Linked DNA regions of Sus scrofa. The protein of the gene in region 1 interacts with the protein of each later gene in a pairwise test. Links are inferred from orthologs where the notes say so. Each region holds a gene or a part of one and is shown in the gene's direction. Other genes may lie near its edges. The genes, in order: nuclear envelope pore membrane protein POM 121C-like, NFKBIA, GOLGA2, HOMER3, AP2B1, TEX11 and AGR2.

Region 1 (4,221 bases):
CACACACACACACACACACACACACACACACACACACACACACACACACACACACACACACACACACACACACACACACACACACACACACACACACACACACACACACACACACACACACACACACACACACACACACACACACACACACACACACACACACACACGTTATCCATTCATCTGTTGTTGGGCACTTACCTGGTTTTCTTATATTGGTTATGGTGAATGTTCCTGCAGTGAACATGGGAGTGCAGATATCATTTTGAAGTACCGATTTCATGTCCTTCAGTTTGAAATTGCTGTATCCTATGGTATTTTTTTTTTTTTCCTTTAACTTTTTGAGGAATCTCCATGCTGGTTCCCACCATGGCTGTACTAATTTACATTCAAATGAGATGACCTCATTTGGTTTCTTTTTAACCATTCAGATGGAATCATCTGAATGATTACAAGTCATGTAGTCATATGAGGGAACAAGTAATCGGTCCTTTGGAAGTTTTAAAACTGTGGGGCACCAAAGACTATTATTTTGGTCGAATATATTAGACTATTTACCTGTCTATCTATGTAAAGATAGTGTTTTATTTGTGTTCTTTTCTGAATCCTCTAAACATTTTAACATACAGACATGTAGTACGTTTCTCCACTTTCTCATTATTTCAACCGTAGATAAAAATACAAAGATGATGAATCATTCATCATATGGAGATTATGTTTAACATGTCTTAACATGTTACTTAGGTCTATTTCAGATTTGGAAAGTGTTGTAAAATCAAGTACAGTACATCCCACTGAGGTTCCCCTTTTGTCTTCATTGATAGCCTCATCCCCTGCCTGTGTAGCATTATCCTAAAGTTGACATTCTCCAAGCATTTTTATGATATAGGTATATGTGTCTGTATCTTACCTATGTGATTATTTTCACTCAAGTATATCTGGCGCATGCACATTTGTTTTGGGGGTTTTATTTTTGACTGTTTGTTATTATTATTTATTCCGGGGCTACCCTTGCTTGCGTAGTCACGGTGTCTGCAGCAGCTGCGGTGACTGCAGGAGGCAACCTGTGGAGCGGAGGTTGATAGCCAGTGTTAGGGACCTTGGGTCTGTGGGCTGGTGCCGCCAGGGGCAGGGGCAGCGCTGCTGGGCCTGTGGCTGCTGGGCCTCGTGCTGTACTTGGTGCCCGCGGGGGTGGCGGTTACGCTGGCCTGGCTAGCTGTGGGGGCGACCGCGGCCTGGTGGGGCCTGCGCCGCGAGCCCCCCGAGGTTCACGCGCCTTCCGAACCTCGCTGGTTCTGAAGGCGCGCTGCCATGGAACACTGCTCACCTTGCCTCCGGCGTAGTCAGCAGTAAACGGAAGTCTCCTAGAGCCTCCGCGCCTCTTCCAAGGACTTGGACCCGCGCTCATCTGTTCCTCATGGGCAACTACCTAGGCAAGCCCGCCCCCCCGCAGCCTGCCTCCACCTCGGAGGCCAGGGACCTGCGGGAGAGGCCTGGCCGCCGCCCGCCCACCCGCCCCATGCCGCCAGCTCCATCAGGCCATACCCCCGGGGTTCATACTCACCCCTCCCTACCCACTCCTCTTCCCCGACCCTCTAGGAGGACGGCCCTCCGGGGTTGTGGCCCTGTAGCACATCGGTTTGTAATAACACCTCGAAGGAGATACCCAATCCAGCAGGCCCACTATGCCTCGCTGGGGGTCCTTCCCACGGTGTGCTGGAATAGTTGTCACAGGAAGACTGTGCTCTCTGCTCGCAATTCCAAAGTGGTGTGCAGCCCAGTGAGAGTGAGGATTGCTCCTCCGGATAGCAAGCGGATTCGTCCCCCGCTATCAGAGCAGAGTAGCAGCTCAACCGTGTCCTCCCCATCAGCTAGTGCCCCAGACCCATGTGCAAAGGAGACTGTGCTGAGTGCCCTCAGAGCGAGGAAGAAAAGGACGGTGAAGGAGGAAGACCAAATACTGGCTGATGGCCAGGAAGAAAAGAGAAGGCGCCAGGACAGCAGTGGACGTGGACATTCAGCATTTGAGCCGCTGGCGGCCAGTGGAATCCCTGCCTCTTTTGTGCCTAAGCCTGGGTCTCTGAAGAGAGGTCTCAGTCCCCAGAGCTCAGATGCCCACTTAAATAAGAGGTCACGCACCTCTTCTCTGAGCTCCTTGACCAGCACGTACTCAGGCGGCGTGCCCATCTCCAGGCGCAATGCCATCACCAGTTCTTACAGTTCTACTGGAGGTCTCTCTCAGCTGCGGAAGAGGAGTGGTCCTAGGTCATCCCCCTTCTCCAGGCCAGCTTCGTCCTGCTCCCAGGCTCTAGCGAGGCCAGCAAAGGAAATAAGAGAAGAGGAACTTTCTCATCATTCGGCTTCTTCAACTGCATTCACAACAGACAAGGAGTCCCAGGGAGCAGAAGTTGCCGATACCACCACAAGGGAGAAAGAGAACTCGTGGAGTTCTCCACCAACACCTGGCAGCTCAGGGCAGCGTAAGCGGAAGGTGCAGCTGCTGCGGTCCTGGCGAGGGGAGCAGCTGACCTTGCCTCCACCTCCCCAGCTTGGGTATTCAGTCACTGCGGAAGACTTAGACTTGGAAAAGAAAGCTTTGTCACAATGGTTCAGCGAGATCTTGGAGGATAAGACTGATACTGCCTTGAGCGCTGTCCCTGAGAACCCACCTACCGGTCAGCCTCCGGTCTCTTTCAGCCTGCCTACTGCTGGGACTCCTGCCACCAAAACCTCCCTCCCAGCCCCAAGCCCTAGCCCACTGTTGAAGAGCTTGAAGAAGCAGCAGGATTCCCCAGGCCTACCATCGCCCCCCAAGTCTGCTGGCATGGCAAGCCCTGTGGCCCATTCGCCTCCGAAGACACCCAGCCCTCTGGCCCCTCTTGGCTCTTCACAGTCAGGGCCTCTCGCGGGCACCTCCTCGGACTGCAAACCTACAGCCGTTTTCTGTGGCGGCACCCTTACCCCCGCTTCTTCCACAGGACCAGTCACTGACACCAAGTCACCTCCAGCCCCTGAGGCTGAGACGTCTGCCAACTCCCAAGCCTTGTCGGCCCCCCCTCCCCCTCCCAAGCAGAACATTCCTTGTAGAATGCTGGGCACCTCACCTGCTAAGCCTCCTGCCTCTGCAGCTCCTGCTGTGTCTTCACCATCTCCCGTGCTAGATCCCATTTTTTGGCCCCCTCCTAAAAGCAAGAACGAGGGCCCCTTGCCCTCTAGCCCTTCCAAGGTCCCAGCCACCACATCTTCCAGCTCAGCCCTCCCCGCAAGTACCCGCAGCCCATCCCGCACTTTTAAACCTGGCTTTCACACCAGGGAGGCCCCTGCATCCGTGCCCATAGTAACTCCCTTCTTCAAGCAGGCAGCTCCTCCAGCCAGTGCTATGAGCGCCCCTCTCTTCCCTGGCCAGACCCGCGCCACCTCTGCAGTGGCTGCTGCGACCACAGCTGGCACCTCCGTAGACTCTGCTCTGAAGCCCGTGTTCAGCTTCCGTGTGAGCAGCATGACCAGCACCCTGAGCCGCGTGACTAGCACCACCGCTTCCACCTCCCAGCCCGTCCTCTTTGGGACTCCCTCTGCCTCTGGTGGCAGCTTCACAAACCCAGCTGTGGGTTCCAGCTCCATAGTCCAGCTTGGTAAGCCTCCCACCATGCCTCCTTCAAGAGCAGTCACCAGCTTTGGCCAGTCCCTTCCCGGTGCCCCTCAGGCAGTGGCCAGCAGCAGCAGCAGCAGCAGCAGCAGCAGCAGCAGCAGCGCTAGCACTGCTGGCTTTAGTGATTTGGGCAGCAGCCTTCCAGCCTCTGCCCCAGCCACCACCAGCCAGGCCACGCTGACATTCAGTAGCACCCCCCGCCCAGCCATCAGCGTTCCCTTTGGCTCAAGTGCCAAGCCAGGATCCAACGCCCAGCCCAGGTTTGGGGCCACTGATGGGCAGCAGCAGTGGGCTGCCAAGCCATCCCTTGTCCCCAGCTTGTGCAGCTCCTTCACGTTGGGAAACTCTGCAGCCCCCGCCCCGACTGCCACTCCAGCCACAGCCCAGCCAGCCTTTGGCAGCACCACACAGTCCACTCTTGGTGGCCTGAAAGCCACAGCCTCTGCCTCGGGCACCCTTGCCGGCCCCCAGCCAGCCTTTGGCAGCACCACAGCCGTTTTCTCCTTTGGTGCAGCCACCACCTCTGGCTTTGGAGCTACAGCCCAGACCACCGGCAGTGGGGCCAGTCGCTCCAG
Region 2 (4,053 bases), on another chromosome or scaffold:
ACAGGTCCAACTGCTGCCCCCTCCTTTGTCCCCCAAGAAGCCAGCAGGGGCAGGATGAAGGCCACCTTGGGGCTGCCCTGAGCCTCCTGCAGTATGCCTGGCAACTACTTTCTTAGCCATCTTTAAGGCCCAATCTTGGGTAAAATACTACTCAACCCATTCTTTAGCCACCTTCTCCAAATGCTTCTAGAAAGCGGCCCCCACAAGTAGGTTCTCTGCAGCAGCACAGTGCAAATGGAGGAACACGACCTCAGTAATTATTTTGTCACTGCAAAGTATCTACAACCTTTGCTATAAAAATTAACACCTTGCTTTCCCTGAAAAATAGCCCAGTCATATCCAGCATTTTCCAGCATCCAGGGCAGAGTGCTTGCTCCTCCCCCAGTCAACAGGACTGTTCATACCGAGGAAATGATTTGAGGGTTCTCTAAGCATTTACGCTGTTAATGCTAAAGCTTTCACGACTTCTACCTGAGGGGGGCTTGAGGGAGGGGGAGGTTTATGTCCCTGCACTGCCAGGAGCCTGGTCTTTGGTAGGAACGCAGAGGCAGCCGGCGACCTTCCACCCTCAGTGTGTCCTTCCCCAGGAGTTTAGGGAAGTGAATCCCTAGATCCAGCCAACATTTCCACTCCCATTTTCAAGAGATTAAAAAAAAAAAAAAAAAAAAAAAAGGAAAGCATCGGCAGGTCAGCAAACCAGCAGTTCTCCATCCTTGGGATCTTAGCAGCCGACGACCCCAAATCAAATCGATCGTGGGAAACCCCAGGGAAAATAAGGTTCCATGCAGAGGGCCAGGATTACTGACTGCAGGCTGCAGGGAAGTACCGGGGGAGGGGGCCGGGTCGGGAGGACTTTCCAGCCACTCAGCGTGCATTAAAAAGTTCCCTGTACATGACCCCAGTGGCTCATCGCAGGGAGTTTCTCTGATGAACCCGGGCGCGGGGTTTAGGCTTCTTTTTCCCCCAGCAGAGGACGAGGCCAGTTCTCTTTTCTGGTCTGACTGGCTTGGAAATTCCCCGAGCTTGACCCCGCCCAGGAGAAATCCCCTGCCAGCGTTTATAGGGCGCCGCGGCGGCGCTGCCGAGCCCACAACAGTCCGAGGCCATCGTCCCGCCCGCCCGAGCCACCGCGAGCAGCCAGCGCGCCGCGCAGCCTGTGGCCCGCGCACCTAGGGAGCAGCGCCCAAGCCCTCATCGCGCCATGTTCCAGCCCGCAGAGCCCGGCCAGGAGTGGGCCATGGAGGGGCCCCGGGACGCGCTCAAGAAGGAGCGGCTACTGGATGACCGCCACGACAGCGGCCTGGACTCCATGAAGGACGAGGAGTACGAGCAGATGGTGAAGGAGCTGCGCGAGATCCGCCTCGAGCCGCAGGAGGCGCCCCGCGGCGCCGAGCCCTGGAAGCAGCAGCTCACCGAGGACGGAGACTCGTAAGTGTCGCGGGCCCGGGTGGCGGGGCCGGGTGGGGGCGCTGGGCCTGCAGCCGGAGGTGCGGGGCCCGCGCTGCGGCCGCGAATCGGGGTTCGTGCACGGACCCCGAGGCTGTGCAAAGGTGCACGGTTGCGCGTGGGAGCCGGGGATCGGGGATTGGGGCCGTGGTCCCGCGGCTCTACCTTGCAGCCGTGCACACCTCCCACCCCTCACCCACCTTTGCGGGTCCCCTCGGCCGGGGGCGGGGCGGCCACGGGGACGCGAAGTCCCCGCTTGCATAAGGGGGGGCGGGAGTTTCTGCCCCGCTGGCGGGCGGGAGGGGAAGTACAGGGCGTTCCGGCCCGGCGGGAGGGCGGGGCGGTCTGGCCGGCGCCCGCCGCCTGGGGAGGGGGGGGGGGCGGAAAGTCCCTGGGTGCCTGCCAGGAACACTCAGCTCATAATAACCTCGCGGAAAACACCGCGGCCTCGGCCTCCAGAAACCCCGGGCTTGCGCAATCCCCTGCGGGCTGTGCCTCCCTGGGCCCCACGCAGTGCACTCACCAGCCCTGGGGGTTTTCCCTCTCTTCCCCTCAGGTTCCTGCACTTGGCCATCATCCATGAAGAGAAGGCACTGACCATGGAAGTGGTCCGCCAAGTGAAGGGAGATCTGGCTTTTCTTAACTTCCAGAACAACCTGCAGCAGGTGCGCTGCTTGCCCGCCCCGTGCCTCTTGGGTTCTGCCTCTCTGACCCCTTGATGGAGCTGGATCTAGCACAGTTATTTCCAATGATTTCCCAATTAACTGCCCCTAGTCATGATCCGCCCTGAGCTTTTACATCTGAATCAGCCAACATCCTAGAGAGGAAGGAAAAATCCCATTGATTTGGTGAGGCTTTTATGAAGCCCACCTGGGGTCTCCCGTCTGTTTCCTTAACCCCTTGTATCTGTCTGGGAGGAGCGGCACGCACAACCAGGATATCTCTAGGGTTCAAGGGGAACATGGATTGTGGGTTTGATCCATGGCTTATCCTTTCTGTCCCTCTTCTGTTGGTAGACTCCACTCCACTTGGCGGTGATCACCAACCAGCCAGAAATCGCTGAGGCACTTCTGGAAGCTGGCTGTGATCCTGAGCTCCGAGACTTTCGAGGAAATACCCCTCTACACCTTGCCTGTGAGCAGGGCTGCCTGGCCAGTGTGGGAGTCCTGACTCAGCCCCGCGGGACCCAGCACCTCCACTCCATTCTGCAGGCCACCAACTACAATGGTAAGTCTGGCTGCCCTATGCATCAGAGGGCACGTGACACAGACAAGGGAGAGGTGGGCCGACTTAAGGCAAGGTGTAAACTCTCAACACGTGAAAGGCTGAGAAAACATGTATGCATCAAGGTCTTAGTAAAACATGTATGCATTTGATGCCTTACTAAAGTCCATTCAGAACCCAGAGTCTGGGTTCTTCAAATTCAGAAGACCTCCTCCCTTAAAAGAATAGGTGAAAGTTCTGAGAAGTGAGGGTGGCAACAAGTGCTTATATTTTGTTACTTTTGGTACTCTAGGCCACACATGTCTGCACTTAGCCTCGATCCATGGCTACCTGGGCATTGTGGAGCTGTTGGTGTCTTTGGGTGCTGATGTCAACGCTCAGGTGGGTGCTTCAAGCCTACAGATGGAGGGCATTCAGCCCTCAATAAGATCACATGCTCTTGCTGCTAGCAGAAACCTCAGACTCAGCCATAAGCATCTCAAATTCCTTTTGGTTTCAGGAGCCCTGCAATGGCCGAACCGCCCTGCATCTTGCGGTGGACCTGCAGAATCCCGACCTGGTGTCGCTCTTGTTGAAGTGTGGGGCTGATGTCAACAGAGTCACCTACCAGGGCTACTCCCCGTACCAGCTCACCTGGGGCCGCCCAAGCACTCGGATACAGCAGCAGCTGGGCCAGCTGACCCTAGAAAACCTCCAGATGCTTCCAGAGAGCGAGGATGAGGAGAGCTATGACACGGAGTCAGAGTTCACAGAGGATGAGGTGAGTCCCAATGACCTTGTTCACGGGTCTGCAAAAAGCAATGCTCTCGGACCCCTAGAGCTCCTCCTTTTCCTGAGGGTCTCAACATAATGAGGATCTCAAATTAGGGAGCATAAGCAGTGTCCTAAGAGTAGGTTTAGGGGGAGGATTATGGTCTGGGGTTTTCTTTTGCTTTTTTGCTCTTTTTGAAGGAGAGGATCCTTAAAGGAAAACTTCAGCCCAGGAAGTTAATTCAGATTCGGGTTAGAGGGAACGGAGTCCAAGAATACTTGCGTTATTTCCAGTAGCAGCCCTTGCCATCACCCCAGCACCTTTGGCAAAGTTCTGGAAGTTTAACATGCCTTTCTTTCCCCTTTTAGCTGCCCTATGACGACTGCGTGCTTGGAGGCCAGCGCCTGACGTTATGAGCTTTGGAAAGTGTCTAAAAGACCATGGACTTGTACATTTGTACAAAATCAAGAGTTTTATTTTTCTAAAAAAAAAGAAAAAAAGAAAAAAAAAGAAAAAAGGGTATACTTATAACCACACCGCACACTGCCTGGCCTGAAACATTTTGCTCTGGTGGATTAGCCCCGATTTTGTTATTCTTGTGAACTTTGGAAAGGCGCCAAGGAGGATCATCG
Region 3 (4,121 bases), on another chromosome or scaffold:
TGAGATTTCTCTGAGGAAGCTCAGCTTTAAAGGATGCGTAGGTATCAGTTTGGCCAAAAGCTGGAAAAACAGTATCCCAGACAGGGGTCAGTGTATCCAAATGCCCAAGACAGGAGAGAGCACATGTGTTTGAGGGAATGAGAGTGGTTTCCAAGGGGGTGGAACGGGTGAGGGAGGGACAGTGGGAGGGAGGGACAGTGGTGTGGAAAGAAGGAAACCAACCAACCACTTGTGGCGCTGGCAGGAAGGAGGAGAGACGGAGCCCACTTGCAGAGCCTGGGGTACCACTGACGAACGCCAGGATGCTCTTTCTTTTTTGAAGCTTGGTGGGCAGGAGGAAAAGAAGGGGAAGGACTGCGAAATGACCTGGACTTTCTCCGCAGAATGAGGTCAGCTGAGGGAAGACCTCGAAGAGGGCAGCGGGTGGGTCAGCCGCTGCTGGGGACGGAGAGGGGGGCTGGGAGCCGAGGGAGCTAACCGGGTGGGAGGGCCGGAGAGGGGGCAGAGGCATACTCACAGGGGATCGGAAGGCCCCGCGGCAGCTTTTGGAAAGTCCTGGTTGAGTCCTGGAGAGGAATCCAAGGGAAAAAGTTGATTGGACCCAGAGTCCGCCTCGGCAGGAAAGCGGTACTCTGGGGGTGTGAGAGGAGGGACAGCCGTGCGGGAGGAGCGACCGCGACTGGATGCTCCCGGGATCAGGGTGGGGTTCCTCGAGGAGGGTATTCGGACAGGGGGTAGAGTGTGGAGGAGCGGATGGAGGCCTCTGGAGCTGATCTCAGGGAAAAGAAAGTTGGGGGCAAAGCTACGGGAGCGAGAGGGACTGGGAAGGGATGTGCTTTCCCCGTGCTGTCCGCTCCTCGCCCACCTCCTCAGCCCTGGGGTTCGGGGCCCCCGACTCGGGGGGGTCTGCAGTGCAGGAGGGTCCAGGGCGAGGGCGAAAAAGAGGCCTCTCAGCCCGCCAGCTATTCCGAATCCTGTGATGGAGACCAGGAGTCGTTATACAGCCAGCTGCGCGCGCACCCTGCGAGAGCAGGCCCCGCCCCTCCCCCCGCCGAGGTGGGCGGGGACCGCGGCTGCGCGCGCAGCCTGTATTATGACTCCACCCGTTCCACCTGGCTCGCGGCGGCCTAGCCACGCCCCCTTTTCCTTTCATCTTTCCAATCGGCCAATGGGATTGGAGAATCTAGGCCACGCCCACGCCGCTGCTGCCTAGAACCGCCCCGGTCCCTCCTTTTCTGGCTCAGTCGCACAGTGGCGCGGTGACTGCCGGAAGCAATTCCGCGGTGGTTGCCGGGATCGTGCTGATGTGGCCCCCCCTTCCCCCGCCCCGTCCCGGGATGTCGGAAGAAACCCGACAGAGCAAATTGGCTGCGGCCAAGAAAAAGGTAAAACACGCGGGGTCGCGGCTCCCTGACTCAGCCCGAGACCCCTTCGATGGCCGGGCCATGGCCAGAGTCTGTGCTGCCTCCAAGGCACACGGGGCGAGCCCCTCGGCGCCCCTTGGCGCCCCCCTCAAAAAGTCTTCTCAGCCAGTCCCGCCCCCTGGCAGCCCAGCCCCCGCCCTCACTCGTCACCCCCGGGTGACTTTGGGCTGGTGACCCCCGGGGCTTCCCGCTTCAGGTTCGGCCCTCGCCTCCCGCCGCCCAGAACCGGACCTCTTGGGCTCCCTGGGCTCCCTAGTCTCCCGGTCTCCAAGGACCTCGGTCCTGGCCTTGCGCTCCCCTCCCCCACCGCGGAGCGGCGACTCGGGCGTCGGGAGGGAGGAGTGGAATGTAGTTACGTCATAATCCCCCTCGGAACTGTCATTACCGCCCGGAGCCCGAGCCCCGGTGTTTGATACTACGACCCGGTCCCCTAGTGTTTTCCCACCCTTTCCGGTTTCTTTGGCCGCGGCACAGATTTCCAGCTTGATGGGAAGTCGGAACTATCGGACCTAGGTCCGACTTGGGTTTCAGGCCCCTTTACTCTAGACTGTACCCCATCCTTGGATGTTGATAGCGTAAAAGACCCCCGCTTTACACTTCACCAGTGATCTCAAAACATGGACATCATCTCTGGGTGGCAATGGGGAGAATGTGTTTTGTTTAGTTTGGTTTTCTCCCTGGTTTCCATCCAGAGAGACTTTCACATTTTTCACCTGAATTTTCTATCTCTAATTCCCTGTGAATCTGAGGCCAGAGTGCCCCTCATTCAGTGCTCTTTGGAGTGAGATCTGCTTATCCTCTGTGGAACAGATCCCCGGAAATTGAACTTCCCAGCTGGGGAATCTTTCCCAAATCATCATCTCAACATCCTAAGTGCCGCAGGATGAAATGTGGGACCGCAGCATCAATTTGGCTTGATTCTCTTGAGAGAGAAGCCTTTCGTATTAATGTAGTTAGGGATGACATTTGCATAGACTCATAAGGTTGTAATAGACTTCTCTCTGAGTTGTCCCCTTTCTGTTACATTTCCAGATTTACTAGGGGTGTTGCTTTCACTGTCTTCTGCCATTAGGATAATGGGTGTGAAAGTTTGATAAGAACTGGTGTGCAGCTCTAACAGGTGTAAGAAAGGACCCTGATGTCTGATTAAATGTTTACTTTTCCACCTCTGCCTCTGGCAGCTGTTGACAGATGTCATAACCCCAGAACTCAGTGTCTGAAGACTGAGTTTAAATTCCCTTATTACCCATTATTGCTTTTTTCCCCCTCCCTAGCCATGTTATCAGTCCCTTTCTTGAATCATGGACAATTATGACACCTGGTAGAGTTGCTGTAACATTAAATCTGATGGCATATGGAAGAGTATTTTGTAATCTTTTTAATTTTATTTTATTTTGGGGGGACCACACCCATGGCATATGGAAATTCCCAGGCTAGGGGTCGAATCAGAGCTGTAGCTGTCAACCTACGCCACAGCCACAGCAATGCCAGATCCGAGGTGCATCTGTGACCTACACCACAGCTTACAGCCATGCCGGATCCTTAACCCACTGAGCGAGGCCAGGGATCAAACCTGCATCCTTGTGGGTACTAGTCAGATTTGTTTCTGCTGAACCGTGATGGGGGACCTCTGTATTTTGTAAACTTTAAAGTAGGATGTGAAATGGGGGGGGCGCACTTATAGTTCTCATGAGTCTCACTGCTTTTCCCTTTTTGCAGTTAAGGGAATATCAGCAGAAGCACAGCCCTGGTGTTCCTGCAGGAGCTAAGAAAAAAAGAAAGATCAAGAATGGCAGTAGCCCTGAGACAACCACTTCTGGGGATTGTCCCACACCTGAGGATGTGAGTCTTGCCTGGCTGGCTTCCGGGGACAACAGTAGAGGGTAGTGGTTAAGATTGTGGAAGAAATGTCAGATATTGGCTAAGAATTTGGGGTCTGAATTCTACCTCTTCCTCTGCTGGGGATGTGTTTGGGGCAACTTGTTTAAACTCGTTGGGTCTATTTCCTCATTGGTAAAACTGGGGTCGTACTGTCTTACCCTTGGGAAGCTTGAATGAGATTGTCGTTGGTTTTATAATAATCCCCTAATACGGGGCCTGGTGCAGAGTAAACATTCAATCAGGAGTCCTTGCTATTTGACTCTGGCCATCTTCCTCACGCCCAGCCTCAAGGGGAAGCCAGGCAGTGCCAACAGCCGCCTGCCCTCAGGCTCTCCATGTAGAAGCACCAGCAGAGCCCCAGGGTGATCTGAGGGGGTTCCTAGGCACTTGGATTAGGAGACCGTCTGAGTTTCAAGGCCATCTTTGCCACCAGCTTGCTAGGTGGCCTCAGGACAATCACTTCCTCCCCTGGGCCTCAGTTTCCTCATCTGTGAAGATGACACTGTTGGATCAGATCATTGTCTTTCAAACTCAGTTTTTTAGTGGTAGCCCCCTTTGTTCAAGCAGACCCTTATTCTGAAGTCTGGTTTTTAAACGTCTGGGCCTAAGGGTCTGAGTTGCCGTGAAGAGCTGCATTGTTCGTCTAAGGAACTACGTGACTGCATCCTCCAGGGGACTTTTCCACCTGTTTGTTTACATTGGTTTCTGTCTCTGGCAAGGCAGCCAGGGGCTGGTAGGAAAGATGGCACAGGCCACGGTATTGGTCCCTTTCTCTCTTCTCCAGCATTCCATTGCCCTGAACCCATCTCTCTTCCT
Region 4 (3,125 bases), on another chromosome or scaffold:
CACCCTGTAGCCTCGAGGTATCTTGACCCCGCCCATAACTACGCCCCCTAGCACAGCACCGCCCTCACCCGGTCCTCCGCCCAGTGAGGCCCCGCCCTGCCCTCTGCTGACTCCAGTGTTCCCGCAGCTCGGTGGGCGAGGTGCAGTGGGAGGCCGAGTTCTTCGCGCTGCAGGACAGTAACAACAAGTTGGCGGGCGCCCTTCGAGAGGCCAACGCCGCCGCCGCCCAGTGGAGGCAGCAGCTGGAGGCCCAGCGCGCAGAGGCCGACAGGCTGCGGCAGCGGGTGAGGGAGCCCCTCCCTCCCAGAGACCCCAAGTGGTCCAGGCCACTGTGAAGTCCCTGCGCCCTGTCTGTCTCGGGTCCGCTGGCTGGCTGTGTGATCTCCGCAGGTCTCTTCCCTGACCTGAGCCTTAGTTTTGTGCTCTGTAGTATGGGTCTGAAATAATGTGAGCCTCAGAGGGTTGTCCTACCTTTAGGACCCTAAAGTCTCATCTGCCAGAGTCAGGGTGGTGGCCCCAAATAGAAGGGGTGAGTGCCCAGTCATGGGCTTGACTGATCAGGAGGCATATTCCCCACGGGTCAGCAGAGTACAGACTGGGGGTCAGGGAACTGACCCTCCTATCTTTGCAGGTGGCTGAACTGGAGGCCCAGGCTGCCACTGAGCCACCCACAGTCACTGAGAAGGAGGGGCCGGGCCAGTCTCTGGAGCAACTGGAGGCACTAGTGCAAACCAAGGACCAGGTGTGTGAACTGTCTGTGTGCATGTGTGTTTCCTTGGACTTTGCCTTCCCTGATCTCCTATGGGGGAGCCAGGACCCTCAGAACAGATCCTGGGAACTTCTCCACCAGGAGATCCAGACGCTGAAGAGCCAGACTGGTGGGACCCGAGAGGCACCAGACACCACCGAACGTGAGGAGACACAGCAGAAGGTGCAGGTGTGTGTGGTTGCTGTGAGGGTGGGATGACTGCCTAGGGCCCCCAGCCCCTGGTATGGGACAGACATGGGATCTCCCTTTCCTGGTGGGTTCTGGGCAGCTATGTGCTTCCCTGAGCCTCAGTTTCTTCATCTATGAATGCAGTCAGGAAGACATCTAAGGTTGTGAAGGATTCAGGTGACCAGGTACATGGAGGGATTGAGTCACAGTGGGTGGTTTATAAGCAAGTTATTAGTATAATATTTCATCTCATTCCTTTCATGCAACCAGCAGTTTTGAGTTTGTTTTGTTTTTTTTGTTTGTTTTTTGCTTTTTAGGGTCACAGCTGCAGCATATGGAAGTTCCCACGCTAAGGGACAAACCAGAGCCACTGCTGCCAGCCTACCCTACAGCCACAGCAGTGCTAGATCCGAGTCACATCTATGGCCTACGCAGCAGCTTGCAGCAACGCTGGATCCTTAACCCACTAAGCAAGGCCAGGAATCAGACCCACCTCCTCATGGATACTAGTTGGGTTCCTAACCCACTGAGCCGAAGCAGGAACTCCCAACAAGCAGTTTTTGAATCTCTGTTGAATCTCCATTCTTGACCCCATCAAATCCTCACACATCCCCAGCCTGAGGTTGGGAGCCTTCATTTGTACCCATGTGCGGCTGGCCTGGCTTTCACTGAAGACTTTATCTGAGAAATGTTCCTGGGGGCATGTCCTGTGAGTCCAGCAGGTAGAGAACTTAGAGGATCTCTTCTGCCCCCAAAGAGAGAGAAATTGGGAGAGGGATGCTCCCTGTTTTCTTCTGGGCAGAGTGTTCAGCATGTGCAAAGGCCCTGGGGTGGGGTGGGGGAGTCATTATGTTCAAGAAACCACAAGGAAGCCAGCAAGGCTGAGTTGGAATGAACAAAGAGAGGAAAGAGGGCTATGTATTTCATTCCCAGCGTGATAGGTGACAGGAGAGTTTTGAATAGAAGAGGAAAGTGGTCAGTTCAATGATGTTCAAGTTGGCAGGGGGACCAGGGAAGCCAGGTGACATAGAAGGTTTGGCCCAGAGTGGAGGCTGTGGGGATACCATTGAGATGCTGGACCCTTCAAACTTGCTGGGGCCCCCAACCCTGCTTGCCCTCTCCCTGCAGGACCTGGAGACCCGAAACGCGGAACTGGAGCACCAGCTGCGGGCAACTGAGCGCAGCCTGGAGGAGGCTCGGGTAGAGCGGGAGCGGGCACGGGCCGAGGTGGGCCGGGCCGCGCAGCTGCTGGACGTCAGGCTCTTTGAGCTGAGTGAGCTGCGGGAGGGCCTGGCCCGCCTGGCCGAGGGCGCGCCCTGAGTCTGCCTCCGGGTCTACGTGGGGGCAGGGGTGCCCACGGGAGCTGGTTTTACATGAACGATTCCCGCCTGGGGCACGGGCCAGGCCGCAGGCGGCACAGTGGGCCATTCACCTTGACAGGGACTGGGGCCCAGCTCAGCCTGGGGAAGGCCTGTCCACCGTACTCTAGTCAGCCCCGGCTGTTCACAGCTCGGAGGCTGTTTTTGAGCTTTTCATTGTGTAGAATTTCTAGACTCCCTGGGGTGCATACCAGTGCCCACATTACATTTCTAAGCGTGGCTGTGTGTGTGTGGTGTGTGAGCCATGGGTACCTGACCGCCGTCACTGGGCCCTCTGTCCGCCCTCAGTCTGTATAGGGCTTGGTAAGCCATTTGGAGGGCTCTGCCCATGTTTTCTGGACCAGTTTGGACTAAGGCAGACCCTGCTTAAGCCTGCCCCCCTTCGCTCTGGCCATAAACCCCCAATGCCACCAGGTGGGCGGGTGGGGAAGCTCCTAGAACATGGCTGTGTTCGCTAGCATGTGATCTCGCCTAAACCTCACATCTGCATCTGCAGAGTAGGGCACTTGCTGTTCCCATTTTCCAGATGAGGCCCATATAAGGGGCTTCACCAACCCAAGGTCACCTAGCTGGAATGGTCAGCCCTGCAGTTCAAAGCTTTGGGGCTGGTCCAGCAGAATGAAGAACTTGAGGGGAGGGGTGGGGGCGACATGATGTTCTGAGGGGCTGGAGAACCACAGGCGGCCACACCCTCCTCCCTCTGCCCCCTCTCCCTGAGAGTCCTACCAGGAAAGTCAAAAGATCCATTTATTGAGCATCTCCTGCAAGTGACACGCCTTCGCTCTGTGGCCCCACTGCACACCCAGGGT
Region 5 (4,313 bases), on another chromosome or scaffold:
TTGTTACATAGGGAAGTTCCCAAGCTAGGGGGTTAAATGGGACCTGCAGGCCTATTCCCCTGCCATGGCAACATCAGATCCGAGCAGCATATCTGTGACCTACGCTGGATCCTTAACCCACTGAGTGAGGCTAGGCATAGAACCTGCATCCTCACAAAGAAAACTCGGGTCCTTAACCCGCTGAGCCACAATGGGACTTCCTTGTCTGTAACTCTTGTTTTCATTTCCTTCCCATCTATCTTCGCACTTCTGCAGCATGGGCTTTGCCTTCATTATCTCTGATGGTCTCAGCAATGACATCAAAGACCTTTGTGTTGCTAAATCCTTGGACACTTTTCAGCCCTTCCTCCTTTTCTCTATAGCAGCTGTTACTGTTGACCACTCATTCATACATTTATTCATTCAACAAATTTGGGGGAGGGAAGCTGGGCCTAAGAGATATATAGTTCTTATACTTTCATAGAACTCTAAAAACATCCTACATCATTACAACTGCTTGCTTTTCCTTCTACTTCTCTACCCTTAGTCCTGTTTGTATTTTGGTTTCCAAGCTTCTGCCTCAGGCTGTCTTCCTATCTTTTTTGGTTAAATACTTTATTATTATTACTTAAGTTTTCTTAAATTACTCAATGAATTACATTTATAGTTGTACAGTGATCATCACAATCCAATTTTATAGGATTTCCATCCCACAACCCCAGCACACCCCCCCCCCATTATTACTTAAGATTAAGGTGGGATGTTTTGAGGGGAAGGTGCAGAGATTTTTGGATCTTGGTTTCTGAAGGAGGCTGCTTTTGTGCCAGCACCCATATTACATGCTAGGCATATTATCTACTTAATCCAGTTAAAACTTCACAAACTGGATTGAGTTATATCATTGGCTTTATTTTATAGGTAAGAACGCTAAGGTTGAGACATTAAGTTACTTTCATAATCACATTCAGGACAGGGATTCGAACTCAGCTCTGATGCTATGTTAGCCTCTTTTCCTTGCCCCACTCTCCTCCAGTCCCACTGGATCACCATTGGGCTGGATCACCATTGTTCACTTCCTTGAATTGGCCAGGAAAATTAGCCGGGGTTTTTTGTTTTTAACAGAAAGCAACAGGGGATTTTTACCGTATGTGTAAATTTTTAAAGAATACCTACGCGAGGAAACAAATTCCAAAGACTATCAGCTTGTTTAATAGATCCCTTAGGAGAGCCACTGAACTTCCTCAGAGGCCTTGACCTCAGGTCTCTCCCTGCCGCGCAAAATTTTTTCGTCTCCAAGGCGACAGAGAGCGCTGCCTTTCTGGTGCTCTCGCGCGCCTGGATGACGCCACGCGGCGAGGTTCTCTGACGTCAGGGGCTTCCTGTCCTCCATCTTTGTCCCTGGCAAAGTGGGTTTTGCGCAGTGGCTTAGACCTGGAGAAGGAGTCGTGACGTGCAGGAAACCATTACAACACCGCTCGGGCCGTGCTCTCTGGCCGCTGCCGCCACCCCCACCCTTGCCTCCGGTGAGTTCAAGGCGGCTAACTTTGGGGTGTGTCCCTCTTTGATGGGCAAGGGGGAACCCCAGGTTAGGTTGGAGACGAGCGGAGGAGAGGAAATCCTAGGAGCGTGACCGTTGAGGAGGGAGTGAGCCGTCGGGTGTGACCGTTGTGAGGAATAGGGTTGGAGAAAGGGACTCCACCGCTGAGGCGGGGCGGGGGAATCCTCGGGGTGGCAACTGGGAGTTGGGGGACACTGGGGGAAAGAAAGGTATATTTGAAGTCGGGGGATTACGAGGGCCATGGGCCAGGGGTGTGGCCAGTAAAGACTGGAGGCCAGGGGGAGACCCTTCCTTCCCGGTTTGGCGTCGTTCATTGAGAGGCTGGGACGTGTCCAGCCAGTAGAAGGGAAAAGGGATTCCCCCAAAGCTTTGCTCATTGATAAGCAATCCTCGCCAGTCTCCCGTCGTTTTGAGGTTGAGACACCTCTTCCCCACCTTGTAATGGAGGAACCTATCCCTAGAGTCATGACCATCTGGGGGGAGGAGGAGGAATTCCTGACGTTGGAGAAAGGGAAGAAAAACCTCCGGAATTGACCCTATGTAGGGGGAGGGAAGCAAGTGGGAGTAAATCTTAGCCCGGAATTTTTTCTTTCTGGTCTTAGCAGGAATGGTCTGGTTTGAGAAAGACTGTAGATTAAGACAGAGGTAAAGACACGGGAACTTCCTGTTATTCCATATATATTCTTTGAATCCGAAGAATTGATTCATGCTGTTTTCAGAGCACCCTTCTTTTTGGGGGCAGGCTTTTTTTTGAACTCTTTCATTACGAAGTTGTCATTATGCTGCCTCATTATGAAGCAGTGTGAATAAAATGTGGACGCTTCATTAAACTTTAACTTTTAAAAAGAAGTGTTTTTTAAATGCCAACACTGTTATAATTATTATGGTTTAAAAGAGAAAGTAAACGCCATAATTTTAGAAAAGGGAGAATGGCAAAGAAAGTGGTCTCTACGGGGAACAATTTAAATCATTAATCACCTTCCTGGTGTACTTCTATTGCTTAGCCTCAGGGTACACTTACAAAGTAATAATAGAAAGCAGATGAAGGAGGTGCAGCTGTACAAGAAAACGTGTAACACATTCCAATGATGACTAAGCGTGGTGGTAAGGTGAGAACTCTTTGCAGGTATCTTAACATTTTAAACTCCCAAAGAAGCAGAAAGCATAGTGTGTTCTGCTAATCGCCTCAGTGAAAGTTGGGTGGCAAAATTAATATAAGTTAACATTCTGTGATTGAAGAGACTCAAGGAAGTCCAGTTCAGAAGAACTTTTTCTTTTTTATACACGTCCATATTTTATTTATTTATTTACTTATTTTTGTCTTTGCCTTTTCTAGGGCGGCTCCCGTGGCACATGGAGGTTCCCAGACTAGGAGTCTAATCAGGGCTGTAGCCGCCAGCCTACACCAGAGCCACAGCAACGTGGGACCCTTAAACCCATATTTTAACCTGTTTTAGGCACAGGTTTTTTTTTTTTTTTTTTTGTCTTTTTGTCTTTTTGCCGTTTCTAGGGCCGCTCCCACGGCATATGGAGGTTCCCAGGTTAGGGGTTGAATCAGAGCTGTGGCTGCTGACCTAGGCCACAGCTACAGCAACACCAGATCCGAGCCTCGTCTGCAACCTATACCATAGCTCACGGCAACGCTGGATCGTTAACCCACTGAGCAAGGCCAGGGACCAAACCCGCAACCTCATGGTTCTAGTCGGATTTGTTAACCACTGTGCCACGACGGGAACTCCTAGGCACAGTTTTGAACCAAGGTGCATAGAATTAGATAGGACATGTTTTCCTTCCTTCCTTCTTTCTTTCCTTCCAGGCTTAAGTTTTCCAGAGTTTATTTCAGTTAAGAGTTGGATGTAAAACTTCTTTCCCACTGTATAGAACTAACAAATTACTTTGTAGTCAATTTTAAATGGAAATTACAGCTGTGTCTGTTGTAGTCAATTCTTGTAATTTCTTTTTTTTTTTGTCTTTTTGTCTTTTTTTGTTGTTGTTGTTGTTGCTATTTCTTGGGCCGCTCCCGCGGCATATGGAGGTTCCCAGGCCAGGGGTTGAATCGGAGCTGTAGCTGCCGGCCTACGCCAGAGCCACAGCAACGCAGGATCCGAGCCGCGTCTGCAACCTACACCACAGCTCACGGCAACGCCGGATCGTTAACCCACTGAGCAAGGGCAGGGACCGAACCCGCAACCTCATGGTTCCTAGTCGGATTCGTTAACCACTGCACCACGACGGGAACTCCCAATTCTTGTAATTTCTTATGCGATAAATGGTACCAGAAGATGCTATTGCCTTTGCATTATTGAAAATTCTAATTAGCACCGCTCACCTTTGTAATGAAAGATTGTAGAATGACCTTTTTGCTTTATAATTTGGTTTACTGTTTCACTTTTTCCCTATAAATACCAACTGTGTAAAGCCCAACTTTATGTGAAGAGAGGAGATTTAGTGGCCTCGCCAACTCTAATTTAGCTGCCATGTCCCAGAGAACCATTTGAAATTAACACCCTATTAATTTTTTTCTGGCCTGATTCTCTTTAGGGCAGTGGAAGGGGAGAGGAATAGTTGAGAAGGGACTTTTACAACCTATATTTAGTAGAAACTAGGTTATGTTAAATCTAGATGTATGATCTTGTACAGAGAGGCCTTTTCTGAAATGCAGTGACATCACACTCGGAGCTAGGAAAATAAGAGTAATTATGTTTTCGACTGTGGCAGCTTTATTTATTTATTTTTTAACATAGTGTCCCGAGGTCATAGCTCAGGTCCTCAGAAC
Region 6 (4,144 bases), on another chromosome or scaffold:
CACGCTAGGGGTCAAAACAGAGCTCCAGCTGCCGGCCTACCCACACTCATAGCAACAGCAACCAGATCTGTGCCCTGTCTGCAACCTACATCACAGCTCCCAGAAATGGATCCCTAACCCACTGACTGAGACTAGGGATTGAACCCACAACCTCATGGATACTAGTAGGGTTTGTAACGTGCTGAGCCACAAGGGGACCTCCCAACTTATGACATTTCTGACTCTTTAATAACCAGTGGGCAACATTGTTTACTTTTCTTTCCCCCCTCGCTCCTCTCCTCCCTCTCTTCCTTCCTCTAACCCCTTCCTTTTTCTCCCATCCCCTTTTTTCTTTCAAAGCCTTTCTCTCCTCTTTCTCTAATTCTCCACACCTGCACACTTCTCACAACAATTGCGCTATGTTTCAGTGTTGCACTATACTCCCTCACTTTTAGTGATTTTCACCCCGGCCCTCTGAACTGCATCCCTAGAACTTAATGCCCGCACTGTGCCACCAGGAGGCTCAGACTCTCGATGGAGGGCAAAGGTCAATTGGGCGGTGCCTTTGATTGACGTCACTATGGGGGGAGGAGCTTTCCAAGCGTTAGTTACTGGCACTGCAGGGCCGTGGTCGGTCACAGAGAGCATTGTGCTGTCAGCGGTCCTGGCTGAGGTGAGTAGTCTTTGTAGGAGCGTCAGATGCAGGTTAGTTGGATGGGTTCTAACTAGCAAGAAGATGTGACCCGTTAGGTCAGCACCTTTTAAAGTGATCCTGAGGCGACAGTTTTGAACTATGGCGCTGACTCTCGGATGAAGGAAGGTGGGCGAAGGCAGGATTTTTGGACTTGGATGAAGTATGGGGGAGCGTTGCGGGATCACTGAAAACGGAATATGATAGATGCTGTAGTTTGGATTTGAAGGACCTAAAATCGGTTGAAGGCTGACGGTTGGTGACTGTGGGGGCGGGGAGCTGAGGCGCTAGGCAGGTCTGTGAGAGCGGGAAAAAGGAGTGTCAGTGATTGGTTGCTTTGAACGTATGGACCAGGCGGTCCAATCACAGGGTACCCCAAGTCCCGATTTTCGTGTTGCCGGGCAGATTGTCCTAAGAAGAGACTTGGGATGAAAATTTCCTCTAGCCCGGGTTCATGTGGCCGGGCAACCTGGTCCTGCCTCTCATAACTGCTTTTTTCTTGGGTTTTAAAATTTTCACAGCATTTTTTCTTTTGGTTAACAAGTAATAAGAAAAAATTGAAATTTATTGAGAAACTGGAAGATGAGTTACAGAATATTAAAGTATTTTCTTATTTCATAGGCCTGACCGAGAGATATTAAAAATGGACGATATTGATTTTCGTTTCATGGACTTTAAAGGTATATAGCTTATATATGGTAGAAAATGTCAATCTGTTTGCTGACTTATGTAAGATCTTCTAAATGAATTTCCTTGCCTAATTTTATCTTTCTGGAATATCTATAAAACCAGTTTTTCTCATTTTGGTACCAGAAAACAGGGTGGATGTTTAAGACGCTGGAGCCCTTTTATAAGTTAGTGTAGGGAAATAGAATTCATAATAATTCACAATTCATAGCTTATTTTCTTTGGATTTTTATGGCATGCAAAGTGACACTGGATTAATTTGACATAGAAATTTATTGTGTTAAAAATACATTAAAAATTACTGTTAGGTCCTGAAGTGCCTTTCCATAATCATCAGTAAAAAATAAATTAGGAGTTCCCTGGTAGCTCAGTGGGTTAAGGATCTGGCATTGTCACTGCTGTGGCTTGGGTTGCTGCTGTGGCACCCGTTCCATCCCTGGCCCTGGAACTTCTGCATGCCTTGGGCGTGGCCAAAATAAATTGAAGTATAGTTGATTTACAATGTTGTGTTAGTTTCAGATGTATAGTACAGTGGCTCATATATATGTAGTATATATATGTATATATATGTAGTATCTTAATTCTTTTGAAAATTAGTATTCTATGTATGAATTCTTAGTAAACAAAAGTTATTTGATTGACTAGAACACCAGATTCCTTAACCATGCCAGGTATGGGAGAGTTTATCACATTTCATTTTTTCTGGGGATATGATCAGATCTGATTTCATATAATAGTGAAATATGTTGTAACCAAGGTGGCTACAAATCTATGATTTCAGAAAGTTTAGGTCAATAGTTTGTTAGCACTTGTCATTTTGAAGCAATAACAAAGCCCACTACCAGCTACCTTAAATTTTAATTTAGGTTATAGTATCTTAAAAATATAAATATTAAATAGAGATTATGACTTTTAAGTATATTTTTTTTAGACATTGTGTTTAAATAAATATTTGAAGCACAGAGAAAAGGAGAATAATATAATGAATACCTATGTAACTACCACTGAGTTTTGTTGAATCTTAATAGTTTTCCATATGCTTCAGATGTTTTGCTGTTCCAAAGAACTTAAAAGATTAATGTACCTGTTTTTCGTCTTTTAAAATATTGCATAAATTGTATCATTTTGTATGATTTTTATTTCCCCTGCAACTTGTGTTTTTTGCTCAGTATTATGTTTTGGATATTTACCCATGTGGATATTTTAGTTCTAGTTCATTTATTTACACTATTGATTAGCACTATTACATTTAATGTGAGTGTACCACAATTTATCCAATCTACTTTGTTGGATGTATGAGTTGTTTCAAATATTTGCTATTACAAACAACAGCATGACAACTAACACTATTTTGGAGAGTTTATCAAGAGCTTTCAAACATTTTGACCACCACCTATGGCAAGGAAATGTATTTTACATCACAGTATATCAAAAGTTTAATGAAATCATTTTAACCTTATTACATGCAGTGCACTATGATGTGTAATATTCTATACCTTTTCATTTTAAAAAATGTTACTTATGACTCACTAAATTATTTCTTGAGCACCAGTGTGTGAGGCTCTAGGGCAGTGCTGACCAATTGAAATGTAATGCAAACATAAATAATTTTATATTTTCTAGTACCACTTTAAAAAAGGTTAAATAGGGGAGTTCCTGTCATGGCTCAGTGGTGAACGAATCCAACTAGGAACCATGAGGTTGTGGGTTCGATCCCTGGCCTTGCTCAGTGGGTTAAGGATCTGGCGTTGCCGTAAGCTGTGGTGTAAGTTGAAGACGTGACTTGGATCTGGCGTTGCTGTGGCTCTGGTATAGGCTGGTGGCTACAGCTCCGATTTGACCCCTAGCCTGGGAACCTCCATATGCCATGGGTGCAGCCCTAGAAAAGACAAAAAAAAAAAAAAAAAAAAAGACAAAAATAAAAAATAGAAAAGGTTAAATAGGGAATTTCCCAGTGGCCTAGTGGTTAAGGATCCGATTGTCACTGCTTTGGTGCAGATTGGATCCCTGGCCTGGGAACTTCCATATGTTGAGGGTGTGGCCAAAAAAAGGAAGAAAAAAATTAATTTTAATAATATAAATTATTTAGCTAAGTATGTCTAAAATGTTATAATTTCAATACGTAATCAATATAAAATTATTAATGAAATATTTTACATTATTTGTTTTCTTTCTGTACAAAGTCTTTTAAGTCCGATATGTGTTTTATCCATCTATTTATTTATTTTTATGGCCGCACGTGCAGCATATGGAAATTCTCAGGCTAGGGGTCAAATTGGAGCTGCAACTGAGGCCTACGCCACAGCCACAGCCATACCAGATCTGAGCAGCATCTGCAACCTGTGCTGTAGCTTGTGGTAATGCCAGATCCTTAACCCACTGAGTGGGGCCAGTAGGGCCAGGGATTGAACCCGCATCCTCATAGAGACTGTATCAGGTCCTTAACCAGCTGAGCCACAATGGGAACTTCTGATATGTATTTTATACTTAAAGCATATCTCATTTTGGACTTGCCATGTTTCTTTTTTTTGGTCTGTACCCTTGGCATATGGAAGTTCCCTGGCCAGGGATTGAATCCCAGCTGCAGCTATGACCTACACTGTAGCTGTGGCAATGCCAGATCCTTAACCCACTGCACCAGGCCTGAGGGCAAACCTGTGCTGCCACAGAGACAACACTGGGTTCTTAAACTGCTGTGCCACAGTGAGAACTCCTGGACTTGCTTTTTTGTTTTTTGTTTTTTTTTTGGCTTTTTAGGTCAGCACCCACAGCTTATGGAGGCTCCCA
Region 7 (4,093 bases), on another chromosome or scaffold:
GCGACTACAGCTATGATTCGACCCCTAGCCTGGGAAACTCCATATGCCATAGGTACGGCCCTAAAAAGACAAAAAAAAAAAAAAAAAAAAGTTTACAGACTTGAAAATGTTTTGAAATATTACAATCCTAATTTCTTTTAAAAGTTATTTTTGTAGGGCTTGCATCCCATTAATTAATTTTCTGTTGTTGAAGATTTCTCCATTCTGAACTTTGAAAGGTTACACACAGTTTCATGAAGAAAACACAAGAAAGACTAAAAAAAAAAAAAAAAGCTTTTTGGCTGTGCCTGTGACATGTCAAAGTTCCTGGGCCAGGGATAGGACCTGTGCCACAGCAGTGACCCAAGCCGCTGCAGTGACAACACTGGATCCTAAACCCACTGCACCACAAGAGAACCACACAACTAAAATTTTTTACAGAAAATTTGAGTTCAGCTTTAAAATGTTGAGTGAATAATTACATAATATTGAATGAGAAAAAGTAGTTGCAGACCTTAGTTTCTAGGTCTGAAAATGGTATAAATGGCTTCCTGCATGCTTGGCAGGAAAGTATGCTATTAAATGAGAGAAGATCTATGAAATATCCTAGAATTCTTTGGAGGGAAATGGCTGCAAGGTCATTAATAAAAACTCATAGTATTAGGATTTTTTTTTCAATAACTGCCCTAGTTTTAAAATACTATGTGAAGGCTTGGTTTGTATTTTTTCATACGTATAGTGAGTGTACATTTTGTTTGCCAAGGAGAGGAAGTACATTGTGTAAAATAATTTATACTCTAATGGAGGACAGCAGCTCATATGACGGTAAGAGTTAGAACTGTGAATCATCTCTTGTGCATTTTCAACTAAATAGAGGCTATCTGCCCAAGAGGGAGAAAAAAAAATTCTACAAACCACAAACTCCATCCAATCACATAAAGACAAATCAACCTTCAGGCAAATCAAATGTCTTCACTTAAAGCTTACCTGGATTTGGCATTCTGCCCATCTTTTCCAAATCTCTTAACAATATACTTTCACAAACAGTTAAAAACATGCATACTGAAAGGCAACCCCTTTGCAGTGTTATTTTTAAAAAACAAGAACTCTTTAGCCTACGGGGGACTTGGGAAAAGAAAAGTTCCTTTTGGGGGTTTGCAACCTGTGAATACGGGATTAGTGGGTGGGACTGAGGTGCGCTCAGGTGCATAAATAGAGGCTTGGGCTGAGCCAGCACACTAGGAAGCTTGGACCGCATCGCTGCCGGCTCACACAGACAGGTGGGTGGGGAAACTCAGGTAAGGCTCCTGACAGCAGTATTAGAAGGGCACTTGTTAGAGTGAGTGCTGGCTTCTGGTTACTGTATAAAGTTGCAGGCAATCAACAGGCAGAGGAATGCAGGGTAGTCCCAAGGGCAGTGAAATTGAATTTGGGGAGGAAATAATGGAATTTCCAACAAAGGTTTCCTGGGGCCTCTCTTTAGCAGAGCTCTGTTTCTGAGCAGATTCAGGGGTAATGGTTTCTCCCTGAGGAAACAGAGGTTTTAAAGTGAGCAAACTCTGGGAGTTTTCAAGCCTGGCACAGAACCCTGGGTCTTCTGTCTTGGTCACTGGGCCTTGATCACCATCAAATGCTCTGCTTCGGTCCCACTGGCTAAAACCAAGACCCACAGAACTGTAAAACCTCAGCTCAGATTGGTTGCTTGGAACCGCAGTTCAGAATATTACTGCAAATCAGCAGTTTCCTTTCTCTACCTGATATAAAGATATCCTTGTTGCTTCTTCAATCTTTAAATTTTGGGATAGGCTGTAAAAGGAGAGATCTGGTTGCTTTCCTGGAGCATTTATGAACAGGAACACAGAACCTCCTGCAAGTCATTCCTTGCTAAAGTCGAGAAGACAAAGATACAGGGACCAGTAAAAAGTGCTGGTTTCAGTGTGTGTGTATGTGTGTGTGTGTCTCCAAATTATCAGTGTCTTACCATGTCTTCTGTTTTGGGGTGGTTTAGGCAGGCAATTTGCAGAGCAGCATCTATTCATGTAATGAAAACCTGGTACAGTGAATCTCAGTCAGCTCAGAGCAGGATGTTTATACAACAGGAGTGATTTCAGCTTCTTTGAGTCATCCTGGCGTAAAATACACATCAGATAGCAATAGTTCCAATCAGACAGCTTCAGAGCTATAGCAAGGGTTTCTAATGCCACTTGCACAATGAGAATTGTCAATGGACTAAATGAATACATCACTGCTCACTGTTATTTTTTCTAATATACATTGCTATAAATCAAATACAAAATCAAATATCTGTTAATAAATTTAAAGTCATTATTTGCCATGATATTTTTCTGACTCAGCAAATATCCCAAAAGTAATTATTCTCATATAAAGGTTCTTGAGTTTTGTTATTGTTGTTGCTTATATTAAAAAGAAGTCTTTGTACTAAGAAGGCTGAGCATTGTTGACTTATATCACATTTAAGTTTTTTATCCAAAATGCTGGATATGAAAATTGTTATTGGCATGTCTGCATCTTTAAGTGTATAGAAGATGAAGAAAGTATATCTCTATTTTTGCTTATATCATTTTTGAGTGAGACATTGTGTGGCTACATAGTACAACATAGATAATAATCAGTCAGTTTAATACAAGACATCATCTAGATTTGGTAACTTGGCAATGCCTTTTTTTAATATTGGATAATGCTTAGCAAAAGTTCCCACTCAAGCCATCAGAAGATGAGAAAAAAAATTTACACCTCAAAAAGACCAAGAATTTTATAGTAGTCCATCTTGATTCCTTTGCAAAATATATTTATTTCAAACCAACACCAGTATTAGAGTGGGGTGTTTCTTTTTAACCAGTTTCAGTCTTTGGCTTTGCTAGCATCCCAAGCCTCCAGCTTTACATGTTATGGTCCCTGGATAACCTTAGTGATTTGCTAGTGCAAGTCACTTTGCTGGCTAGCTCACTCCCTCACATACTCATGGATCATACCTTCCCCTCCACTTTCCTGCTTATAAGAATCTGCTTTGCGGTAGTGTAACATTCGAGAGAATTAACTTTGGAATACTGGAAAGGAAAAACAATTAACAAAGAGGCATCCATGGGGTTGGTTTCTCTGTGTGGGCCATATATTTTTGTGGGCCTATTATACAGGCTCACACTGAGAGTCAAAGAATCAGCTCACTGGAAGAAATTTGCACCGATGTATTTTAACCAATTCAGAACCAATATATAGAGTCTGAGTAAATGTTACACTAGGGAGAGCGTTGTGTGACTGCAAGTCTCTAGCTGAAAGTTGGCAGTTTTCAAATGAAAAAAATCATTTTACTCAGACCTTATTTTTCAATGGCAATGTCCTCATGTTAACAAAATGTACATCTAGGGTAATTTTTTTCAGGATGAAAAGATGGGAGCCAGCACCACAAAGTGATAAGGTGCAAAAACTTTGCTTCTATGCCCATCTCATTAGTCTTAATTTCTCTGAATTTCAGATTCTTCACCTATGAAATGAGGCACTGGGGAGATGGGAGAAAAGGAGAGGCAACCCCTAAGATCCATTCCACCACAAAAATTTTTTAAATATAAAATTTAAAAGCAAATCCCCTTAGCTATAAAAATATATATATATCTTATTTCCTTAAAATATATCTGAATCTATTTCTATACTTTTTTTTTTTTTTTTTTTTTTTTTGGCTTTCTAGGGCTGCTCATGCAGCATATGAAAGTTCCCAGGCTAGGGGTCATATTGTAGGTACAGCTGTCAGCCTATGACACAGCCACAGCAATTCAGAATCCTTAACCCACTGAGTGAGGCCAGGGATCAAATCCATATCCTCATGGATACTAGTCAGGTTCGTTTACTGCTGAGACATGAGGGGAACTCCTATATTGTAGATTTCTATGGATATCTTCATCAGTATATTTTATCTATCTGGATCTACATCTAAATAGAGGCAGACAGATAAATAGATAGGCATTCATACTGTATAATCTTAGGAAATGTCTATGGAAGGTAGTTTTTCATTCAATTGTAAGTGTTCAATCCCATCTAAGCCTCACCTCCTACCTATTACATCCCCTGGTTGTGATGCAATCTGAAGATTTTGAAGACT

Evidence for each region.
Region 2: the proteins of nuclear envelope pore membrane protein POM 121C-like (region 1) and NFKBIA interact in binary tests that used the Homo sapiens proteins (3 or more experiments, as listed by UniProt). The two-hybrid records come from large-scale screens. The link is inferred for Sus scrofa from reciprocal best matches to the Homo sapiens genes POM121 and NFKBIA.
Region 3: the proteins of nuclear envelope pore membrane protein POM 121C-like (region 1) and GOLGA2 interact in binary tests that used the Homo sapiens proteins (3 or more experiments, as listed by UniProt). The two-hybrid records come from large-scale screens. The link is inferred for Sus scrofa from reciprocal best matches to the Homo sapiens genes POM121 and GOLGA2.
Region 4: the proteins of nuclear envelope pore membrane protein POM 121C-like (region 1) and HOMER3 interact in binary tests that used the Homo sapiens proteins (3 or more experiments, as listed by UniProt). The two-hybrid records come from large-scale screens. The link is inferred for Sus scrofa from reciprocal best matches to the Homo sapiens genes POM121 and HOMER3.
Region 5: the proteins of nuclear envelope pore membrane protein POM 121C-like (region 1) and AP2B1 interact in binary tests that used the Homo sapiens proteins (3 or more experiments, as listed by UniProt). The two-hybrid records come from large-scale screens. The link is inferred for Sus scrofa from reciprocal best matches to the Homo sapiens genes POM121 and AP2B1.
Region 6: the proteins of nuclear envelope pore membrane protein POM 121C-like (region 1) and TEX11 interact in binary tests that used the Homo sapiens proteins (3 or more experiments, as listed by UniProt). The two-hybrid records come from large-scale screens. The link is inferred for Sus scrofa from reciprocal best matches to the Homo sapiens genes POM121 and TEX11.
Region 7: the proteins of nuclear envelope pore membrane protein POM 121C-like (region 1) and AGR2 interact in binary tests that used the Homo sapiens proteins (3 or more experiments, as listed by UniProt). The two-hybrid records come from large-scale screens. The link is inferred for Sus scrofa from reciprocal best matches to the Homo sapiens genes POM121 and AGR2.

The regions. Positions count from the first base shown.
Region 1 is NW_018085157.1:60,610-64,830, forward strand, and holds the start of nuclear envelope pore membrane protein POM 121C-like, read left to right. Parts: upstream 1-1,320; 5' UTR 1,321-1,414; coding exon 1,415-4,221. UniProt on the Homo sapiens protein: Essential component of the nuclear pore complex (NPC). The repeat-containing domain may be involved in anchoring components of the pore complex to the pore membrane. When overexpressed in cells induces the formation of cytoplasmic annulate lamellae (AL).
Region 2 is NC_010449.5:64,506,918-64,510,970, forward strand, and holds NFKBIA (NF-kappa-B inhibitor alpha), read left to right. Parts: upstream 1-1,201; coding exon 1,202-1,428; intron 1,429-1,646; exon of another isoform or gene 1,647-1,996; intron 1,997-2,002; coding exon 2,003-2,111; intron 2,112-2,462; coding exon 2,463-2,673; intron 2,674-2,962; coding exon 2,963-3,051; intron 3,052-3,169; coding exon 3,170-3,430; intron 3,431-3,789; coding exon 3,790-3,837; downstream 3,838-4,053. UniProt on the Homo sapiens protein: Inhibits the activity of dimeric NF-kappa-B/REL complexes by trapping REL (RELA/p65 and NFKB1/p50) dimers in the cytoplasm by masking their nuclear localization signals.
Region 3 is NC_010443.5:268,717,279-268,721,399, reverse strand, and holds the start of GOLGA2 (golgin subfamily A member 2), read left to right. Parts: upstream 1-1,244; 5' UTR 1,245-1,304; coding exon 1,305-1,385; intron 1,386-3,143; coding exon 3,144-3,266; intron 3,267-4,121. UniProt on the Homo sapiens protein: Peripheral membrane component of the cis-Golgi stack that acts as a membrane skeleton that maintains the structure of the Golgi apparatus, and as a vesicle thether that facilitates vesicle fusion to the Golgi membrane.
Region 4 is NC_010444.4:58,919,940-58,923,064, forward strand, and holds the end of HOMER3 (homer protein homolog 3), read left to right. Parts: intron 1-127; coding exon 128-284; intron 285-631; coding exon 632-742; intron 743-850; coding exon 851-937; intron 938-2,065; coding exon 2,066-2,257; 3' UTR 2,258-2,535; downstream 2,536-3,125. UniProt on the Homo sapiens protein: Postsynaptic density scaffolding protein. Binds and cross-links cytoplasmic regions of GRM1, GRM5, ITPR1, DNM3, RYR1, RYR2, SHANK1 and SHANK3.
Region 5 is NC_010454.4:39,924,000-39,928,312, reverse strand, and holds the start of AP2B1 (AP-2 complex subunit beta), read left to right. Parts: upstream 1-1,434; 5' UTR 1,435-1,502; intron 1,503-4,313. UniProt on the Homo sapiens protein: Component of the adaptor protein complex 2 (AP-2). Adaptor protein complexes function in protein transport via transport vesicles in different membrane traffic pathways.
Region 6 is NC_010461.5:56,922,258-56,926,401, reverse strand, and holds the start of TEX11 (testis-expressed protein 11), read left to right. Parts: upstream 1-1,297; 5' UTR 1,298-1,313; coding exon 1,314-1,350; intron 1,351-4,144. UniProt on the Homo sapiens protein: Regulator of crossing-over during meiosis. Involved in initiation and/or maintenance of chromosome synapsis and formation of crossovers.
Region 7 is NC_010451.4:86,050,979-86,055,071, reverse strand, and holds the start of AGR2 (anterior gradient protein 2 homolog precursor), read left to right. Parts: upstream 1-1,239; 5' UTR 1,240-1,277; intron 1,278-4,093. UniProt on the Homo sapiens protein: Required for MUC2 post-transcriptional synthesis and secretion. May play a role in the production of mucus by intestinal cells. Proto-oncogene that may play a role in cell migration, cell differentiation and cell growth. Promotes cell adhesion.